2 linked regions of the Nothobranchius furzeri genome follow. The protein of the gene in region 1 purifies or fractionates together with the protein of each later gene. This does not show direct contact. Links are inferred from orthologs where the notes say so. Each region holds a gene or a part of one and is shown in the gene's direction. Other genes may lie near its edges. The genes, in order: atp6ap2 and ccdc115.

Evidence for each region.
Region 2: the proteins of atp6ap2 (region 1) and ccdc115 purify together in Homo sapiens (affinity purification with mass spectrometry; 3 studies listed by BioGRID and IntAct, counting the BioPlex papers as one, with this or other methods). This does not show direct contact. The link is inferred for Nothobranchius furzeri from reciprocal best matches to the Homo sapiens genes ATP6AP2 and VMA22.

The regions. Positions count from the first base shown.
Region 1 is NC_091754.1:27,618,885-27,623,422, reverse strand, and holds the start of atp6ap2 (renin receptor), read left to right. Parts: upstream 1-1,438; 5' UTR 1,439-1,519; coding exon 1,520-1,592; intron 1,593-2,373; coding exon 2,374-2,504; intron 2,505-2,592; coding exon 2,593-2,721; intron 2,722-2,794; coding exon 2,795-2,890; intron 2,891-2,992; coding exon 2,993-3,130; intron 3,131-3,242; coding exon 3,243-3,296; intron 3,297-3,378; coding exon 3,379-3,528; intron 3,529-3,601; coding exon 3,602-3,721; intron 3,722-4,013; coding exon 4,014-4,208; 3' UTR 4,209-4,538. UniProt on the Homo sapiens protein: Multifunctional protein which functions as a renin, prorenin cellular receptor and is involved in the assembly of the lysosomal proton-transporting V-type ATPase (V-ATPase) and the acidification of the endo-lysosomal system.
Region 2 is NC_091755.1:25,080,856-25,084,907, reverse strand, and holds ccdc115 (coiled-coil domain-containing protein 115), read left to right. Parts: upstream 1-1,672; 5' UTR 1,673-1,778; coding exon 1,779-1,898; intron 1,899-2,278; coding exon 2,279-2,382; intron 2,383-2,470; coding exon 2,471-2,583; intron 2,584-2,660; coding exon 2,661-2,837; intron 2,838-3,028; coding exon 3,029-3,228; 3' UTR 3,229-3,456; downstream 3,457-4,052. UniProt on the Homo sapiens protein: Accessory component of the proton-transporting vacuolar (V)-ATPase protein pump involved in intracellular iron homeostasis.

The DNA.
Region 1 (4,538 bases):
TGTAATAACAAAAATAAAACTTTTCAAACTAACACTTTTAAACACACACATGAGCAATGGTTTGAGGCCTTTTTTCCGTCTTGCAGAGATTCTCGTGCCTTCCTAAACAGCTTTTTGTAAAGCATGACCTGTGTGAACTCTTCATGGTGGGCACTTGGAGTTGACTAGATGCATGTAATGAGCTTTGATTGGGCTCACAGGACTCACCCAACAATGATTGGCTGCACAGCTCGAGCATTCTTTCCTCCTCTCTCATGAAAGTCTGCATTCAGTCAGTGAATATTTGGATAAAAAAGCTACAGCAGACGAGAGTCGATCTGTGTCACAGAAATAAAGCACATGGAGGCTAAACCATAGTCACATCTGCTCTGTGTTAGCAGGATTAGCTGCCAATGTCAAAATTTCAGATCCAGATAAACAGGCCATGGCTAAATTCAGGACAAATATTTACTTTTATGTTGAAGAGCTAAATAATTTCAAATGCAATTGCTTATTTTTAAGCAGCAGAGATGCTGTTGTAAAGGAAGATTTAAATATTGTAATTTCGAAATGAAGCTGGTTTAGGGGAAAAGAAATACAATGCTGACATCTTGTGGCAAACCTGTGACATTACAACAACACCAATCCACAGTCAAACCCAATTCAATTAAATTAAATTCATAAATAAAATTATATTACCATGACAATAAGAAACATCTCATGATTTTCTGCAGTTAAATCAAACGAAATATACTTTAAATTACTTTGGTTTTACAAACAGAGTTATTTTGGACCAAGATAGTACAGAAGGAACCACACAAATCAAATCACAAAGCTAATGTAAATTTCACTGGGAAGAAAAAGTTGCAATATTAACATAATAAATTTCTGCCTTAAAACAAAACACTCTTCCACTTAATTTTTTAATAAATGTGTGTTTGATACAGTCTGTATTGCACTCACATGAGAGCATCATGTGATCCAAAGAATAGGGTGTGTGTGTGTGTGTGTGTGTGTGTGTGTGTGTGTGTGTGTGTGTGGCAGATTCAGGCTGGTGATGGGACTCTGTTACCAAACTGGGGTTTGTTGTCTTTGCATGTAGAACAGATGAACAGGGTTTATCAGTTGAGCAGCAGCTTTGCTACAGTTGTGTGCTACCAAGAGGTTAAAGCCTTGAAAAAGAAGGCCGCTGATGAGGACACAGACAAGAGACGACAGACGGTGAACTATCTTGAGATTATTTGATCTTTGGTTTCTGTTGTGGTCAGATCTGCCGCCCTTTTGTGGTGATGTAGTGACATTACAAATAAAAAACCCACTGCACCTTCAAGGAAAATCGCGAATAAATAATGTCTTAAACGTCTAAAACCTAACACAGTTAATTTAAAGAAATATAGTCATAAATCTCTTTTTTTTAGCTTTTATCGAACATTAACAAGCGGTTTGTCCACTATGTAGCGGTAAGCTTAGCTACTCTGTCACAAACTCCCACAATGCTTTGCTGCACATAGCGTCAGCTGACCGACATACAAGGAGAAAGATGTCGCTGAAGAACTGCCGAAGGATGGAGGCTACATTTAACTCTATGGTTTTAGTCCTTTGTGTCCTCACCGGTAGGAACTGCACGACAACTAAAACTCTTATTAACATTTGTGTACTCTATTATAACTAACCCTTTTGTCGTCGCTTCCTTTAGGAGTTTAATCATTCAATGACCAAATACAGTCCAGTTAGCGTTGTTAGCATTCATTTACTCTGACATTTTGTCTGCCTGTGTGTTTTAGTGTTGCGTAGATATAACTATGAATGTTTTAAAGATAATAATAAACAAAAAGGGTCGTAGTGCCGGATCGCTGAGAATAATAACAGCTTTGCTCATAATAGCAGTGCTAACAGCTGGAGATTAGCTTGCAGCTAACTTTAGAACCAACAGTGAATGTGTATTTGTTTTTTCTCACAAATTGTCAAGCGACATTTAAAGTAATCTAAATCGCCAAAAAATAATTGTAATTTCTTCGTACATAGCGAAATGTTCAGCTTTGTCACGTGACTAGTTAGTTCCTCTTTATTGACTCGCATCCCTGTTGTCTCTAGTCACGAGTGGATTCTTCCATACGGGCTGGTCATGATTAAGCTCTATTTTTGTCATACATATTACTAGGACGCTTGTTATAACCTTTTTAAGGTCACAATACTCGGAAAATATACTAAAAATATGTAATTTGAGGTTATACTCATTCGCTTGACTTTCTAAAATATGATCCACCTCATTTAAGATACTTTTCATGAACAAATGTGATCTAATACACAATTGGTTAGGAGATAATATAACAGTCTAAGGATCAAGTCTGTCCCTGTGGGAAAATTGTAGTTATTTTTGCTTTTGTCCCGCAGGTGTCCTTGGAGACAGCCTTACGGTGTTGCAAGCACCAGAGTTTGTGTCTTTCCAGAAAGGGGACTGGCCGGTATCTGGGACGAAGATCCCCGACCTGGTGGCTCTTACCATGGGCTTCTCTATTCAAGAGGTGCTTTATTTACCATCTCATGTGTGTGTCATTTCTGTCCAGTTTTATTTAGGGCTCGTGGTTATTTATTTTTTTATTATTCACACAGGATTTGACTTGGCCCGGCCTTCAGGCTGGTCCTTTATTCCAGCGACCTCGAGCTAACGTGCTTGTGGTAGTGAGAGGAGTCGACAGCTTGTCCTTTCCTCAGAGCGTTGCCTCGTACCCCCTGGAGAACGTAAGTCAGACCAACACCAGAAATGTGAAATTCTAGCTTAATATTGAGTTTAGAGTTATCTTCTCTCTTCCAGCCGGTACCCTTTACCCTGGACAGTGTTGCAGAGACTGTTCACTCTTTGTTTGCTGAGTACACCCCTGTCGTGCTGCAGCTGGCTCCCAGCGAGGAGGTAAAAACAAATCCAGTGTACAACAGGAAACTACAAATTTCTGGGGCAATACTGTAAAGGCAAATGTTTCTCATATTCCTAAGCTTTTGTTTTCCCTTTCAGCGACTTTACATGCTCGGCAAGGCCAATGCCGTGTTTGAGGACCTGCCGGTCACCCTGCAGCAGATCCGTGCTCGGCTGTCGCAGGACAGCTCCGTGCTGACCTCGCTTCCACTCAATTCTCTCAGCAGGAATTCAGAAGTTAGTCGATGACTGCCGTGACGCCAAATCTAACATTTTGAGATGCATCCCTCTCCTAACAGCAGAATTTTGTTTTGTTTGTTTTTGTAATCAACACTCATTTTGTTTTCAGGCTGATCTGCTCTTCCTGTCTGAGGTTCAAGTACTGCATGACATCACCGCTCTGGTAAGTCATCATTCATGGCTGAAACTTTTATTTTTGTCTTGATAAAAACTCCCCCCCCCCCCCCCCCCCCCCCCTTCTGTAGCTACAGAGACACAAACATCTGGCCAAGGACATCTCCCCTGACCTCTACTCCTTGGAGCTTTCTGGTTTGGAGGAGTTGAGTCGGCTTTATGGCACAGATTCTCCTCAGTACCGCGATGCCACCTCCATCATAGCCTCTGTCCTTCAGAAAGTAAGGACTCTGAAGCTGATGCTGCCTAACTGTTTACTTTAACCTGATATAAACCACATTTTTTTTATTACAGTTTGGGGAGGATATGTATCGTCTCTATGGCAACGGTGCCGTGGTGGAGGTTGTCACAGTGAAGACCTTTGAGGCTCCTTTGATCAGGAAGTCCCGTTCAATCCTGGAATCTAAGCAGATTGTAAGTCGACTTTAAAATTCTGCACTGGTTCAGTAAAATGGTAAAAAAAAACAAAAATCTAATTATGCCTAAAATAGTCGCTCTAATTCATTAAAATATTTAACGTGGTACTCCTGGATTTCTGAATGTCTTTGACAGCATTTTATTTCTTCATTAATAATTGTCTGTGTCGTGTTTGCATGTGAGATAAAGCATGGGGGCAAGTAGATGTGGTTGTTTGGACTTGTTGGGCTAAGTGGGATTCATATGGGACTTCCTATAGGTGACACTTTGACTTGTTGAATGTTTCCAGAGCAACCCAGGCCGCCCTTACAACCTGGCCCACAAGTACGGCTTTCAGTACGCTGTCATCTTCAACATTGTGCTGTGGCTGATGATCGCTCTGGCCCTCGCCGTCATCGCCATCGCTTACAATCTGTGGAACATGGACCCTGGATATGACAGCATCATCTACAGGATGACTAATCAGAAGATCAGGATGGACTGAGTCCTGACCGCCAACACTCCCGGTGTCTCCTTGAAGCTCCTATGTGAATGTTTGTGTTTTGTGTGTTTGAGGTCTTCTGCAGTGAAAACGTGTGACGGTTGGATGGGACGAAGAGCATGATGAATACTTTCACCTTCCTTCTTAACGTGCTGAGCTGATGATATGAACACATTTTTTTTTAACATCAGAGTAGTGGTCCTGAAACGTATCTACAGCGATGTTATCTGTCCCGAGTTTAGAACAGACTTCCTCTCCTCAGCTTCACAGCTCTCATCATTCCTCCTCGCTAACTTGGTTTCTTTAGCGACTGCATCTATTTTCCCTCATGAA
Region 2 (4,052 bases), on another chromosome or scaffold:
ATAGATCATGACAGAGTAGATAGATGATAGATAGATAGATGATAGATAGATAGATAGATAGATAGATAGATAGATAGATAGATAGATAGATAGATAGATAGATAGATAGATAGATAGATAGATAGATAGATAGATAGATAGATAGATATTGAACTTACCAGAGATGATATTATTACCAGTTTATTCTACCTGTTTGAAATGTGCACTTTAGGGCATGTAAACTCAAACGCGGAACTCTGTCTGATCTGGGCGGGTCCTTGTGATTACACACACCAATGACATTGCTGCATGTGTAGAACTAGAGGCGCGCACGATGCGCCGACTCATTTGATTGGCGCTTCATCTCGGAACATGGACGTCGCTGTTGACAACTGCCAATGAGCGCCTCCGTACTCTCAAAGTCCCTCTCCTCTTTTTATGCAAAATCAGGGTTAAAGTCTAAATCCAGGTGGGTGGAATCGACAAAAACATGTAAATTTTCGTGTAACTTTTTTTGTAAACTTAAACATTTAGGCCACTTAATTTATTTCTGTTTCTGTAGCTCCGTCATTTTCCTACAAAGTGCAACTAGAATAAACAGAAGTAACCCTATAATTATCGTACGTTTGTAATAATGTTCAAAACTAAATTAAAGCTTTAGGATAAAAGCAAGACACGACATAAAGAGTTAAAATTGATACTCACTGACAACATGTTTAAAATAATTTTTAAAACGCAAACAACAACATATGCCGGTAGGAAAATGTATTAATGTTATTATCTGTACTGAGTGTAATTGACTAATTAAACTGTAAATAAGCAAAAATAAAAAGAAAATAAAGTAAAAGGTATCCACCCTTGCCGTGTCAGGGACAATCCCTGCCGTGACCCGGATTCGAACCGGGGTTGCTGCGGCCACAACGCAGAGTACTAACCACTATACGATCACGGCGAGCTACAGGGGGACATGTGTGAACACGTCAAAATACAGCTCTATGAATGTGAGCTAAAAGGTGAAGTACTGGCAAATATGTTTTACTGATAAGTATCTGTAATCATAATTTTTGTGAAAAATGAAACAGGATACATCAGGTTGTGCAAAAATGATTATTAAAAAAACTCATTAAAATAAAATGTATGGCTGGACAAAAGGATGGATAAAACGCTCAACTCGCCTTTCACAGAACAGGTACTGCCCAACAGGTACTGCCAGAGGCCCATTACACCTTTACACACATCCAACTCTATATGACAAGATAGGTCAGTGATCATAAACAGCACATTTATACATACATCTGTTTACCGGCTCAACAGTCCCATATGGTCTAGCGGTTAGGATTCCTGGTTTTCACCCAGGCGGCCCGGGTTCGACTCCCGGTATGGGAACAGCTTTTTTTCGTGCAAAGTATTTATTTGGCACTCCTACAATCCGATTCTTTTACGCATGTCTTTTTTTTTATTATATTACCTTTACATTAACAATAAATACAACTTCTGTGTTTTCATCGTCAGCTAAAACCAGCACAGCTAAATTAAAACATCTAGTTGCAAAACTGTTTATTTACACAATAGGTACTTTTCATGACAACTCTTAGGAAAATAATACATATAAAGTAATAACCCTTTAAGGTTCATGACATGAAATTATAAACTTTTACACCCCCAGAGGATGTTAAAAATGTCACGTGACTGTGGGCGTCACGTGACGCTTTACGGAAGCTACATTTGTCTCAGACTTGTTTGCCGCTAACGCTAACGACCTTAAAAACTCCGCTTCTTACTTGTTTCAGAGACTCGACATGGGTGTATCTGGAAGAGAGCAGTCTTCTCCATCACTGGACGACAAACTGCTCCGTTTTATGGACCAGCTTGAGTTACTGGAGCAGAAAAGAACCTCTCTGAATTCTCTCATCGAGCAGGTAAAGATTATTCAGCTAGCTTCACATTTTAGAAAGGGATTAGGCATACTCGGATGTCTGTCCTCATTTGTTTACATTTTAAAAAATACATTATTTTGAACTTCGTGTTCAAATTAATGTATCAGTCATCATTCATTCAAAATGCCAAAACATTCATCTAGTTTATTACAAATATATGTCAACAGGAGAACATCGAGTAAAAATGGTAAACAAAATTATTTTTATGGGGTAACGTTTATTGACATGTTTGCATTTCTGAAGCTAAAACCAAATGTTTAAATCACCCTTGAACTGGTTAGCTTGATTGTTTTTTTCTCCTACATCTAAATACTGTAACTGATTGTTTTAACTTTCTTTTCTCTACCTGTTTAACCATTTAGGGATGGTTCACCATGTCCAAAGCACGATATTCCATGGGAAATAAACAAGTCTCACCACTTCAGTATGCAAATGAGATGGAGCCACTGGTTCATGTTCATGTTAGGTGAGGACTGCAAAATAAATGCTGTCAAAAAACCGTTGGACACTTCTTAATATTATTTTAAAACAATCCCTTACTGTGTGTTTAATAGAACCCTGGACAACGATGAGGTGGAATTTTGCATCGAAAGGTCTCCTCAAACCTGTGGTGAAGAGTCTGTAAAGGACCTGACGTCTGTAGAGGATATTGGACCTCGAGAAGAAGGTCAACAGAAAATTTTAATGGTAAAATGTGTCATCTACTTGTTTCTTATCAAATGATCATACTACATGTTTTTACAGGTGTAAGGCAAAGAAAAAAGACTGAAATCATCTCAGAAAAGAAGACAAGTGAGGATATAAGCGAGCAGAAAGCTCCTGCCTGGAGAAGAGACCACAATCCTCAGCAAGACCCCCTGAAGTGGTTTGGGATTTTGGTGCCGCAGCCTCTTAAACATGCACAGTCATCATTCATACAAGGTATGATGGTTAATTTCTAAAGTAAGTCAATACTATGCAAATGTTTTTAAGTACTTTGCATATGAAATCTGTTTTTTTTTAGATGTTCTTTTATGTTTGAATGGGATTTATAAGCATGAAGGTTGTTGCGTGCTTGTGAAAGCATTTGCTAAATGCTAATGAAAATTCTGTTTACTATTCTCTTATTGCAGTAATGGAGCTGTCTGCTGAGATTGCAGCTCTCCAGATTGCGGTTTTAAACACAAGAGAAGAGCTAAAGGACGGTTTAAAAAACAAAAAGGCCCCAGGAGAACAATTCAGAGACTCTGCTGATCACGGCAGTGAATCTAATACTTCTGCTGTATCTGAGCAAGAGGGCACCAAAGTTCCATCGTCAACAGGGAGCCAATAGATCAAAGGGTTTCACTGATGCATCAAATAATTTCTTGCTGTAATTAGAAGGGATAGTCACAGATGTAACATTATTACATCAAAGTTATTCACATGGAGTTGTACAGTTATTAACATGTATAAAACATTTCAATGTGGCTTGAAATATCCCCTTATGTTAACGTGTTTTTGTTTTGTTCAATGACTGGTCCAGCTTTAATAAGTGTTATTAAAATGGCTTTTGCTCAAATCTTCTACATCCTTTTTCACGCAGTGAGTAATTATGCAACGATGGCATTTCCCATATGTAATCAATTTAAACATGCACTAAAGGGTGTCATCAGTGCTTAATTTGAGCTGGATCTTGCCGGAGCAAGATCAGCGAACTGTCTTATTTTGAAAGGACCGTTCCAGCAACTGGCTGCTCGGATTCGGCAACTCTCGCAACCAACTTGTGCTATATGCAGGGTTGGAATTATGGGTGAGCTATTAGCTAAAGGGATCCCAGCTCACCCCAAAGGATGACGCTCCCCTGGAAGCCCTCAGTTGACACCCAGAGGGAGCCCAAAACGATCCTGGTTCTACTTATATTAAATTATCTATGTGGACTCTGGGGATTATTTTGACCTGAGAGGTGCAGAGCTCTGATCGTTATGCGCTCCAGACCATGGACGTAATTTTCACTTTAGAAGTGGGGGGACACGGGGGTGGGGGTATCTTTACAGTCTGTTCTAATGGGAAAGAGGCTTCAACACAAACGGTTGTTTTCTGCTTGGTCCTAGAGCTCAACCAGTGTTAATTTTATATAAAGTAATATTGTTTTTGGATGGTAAATAGTGCAGGGGT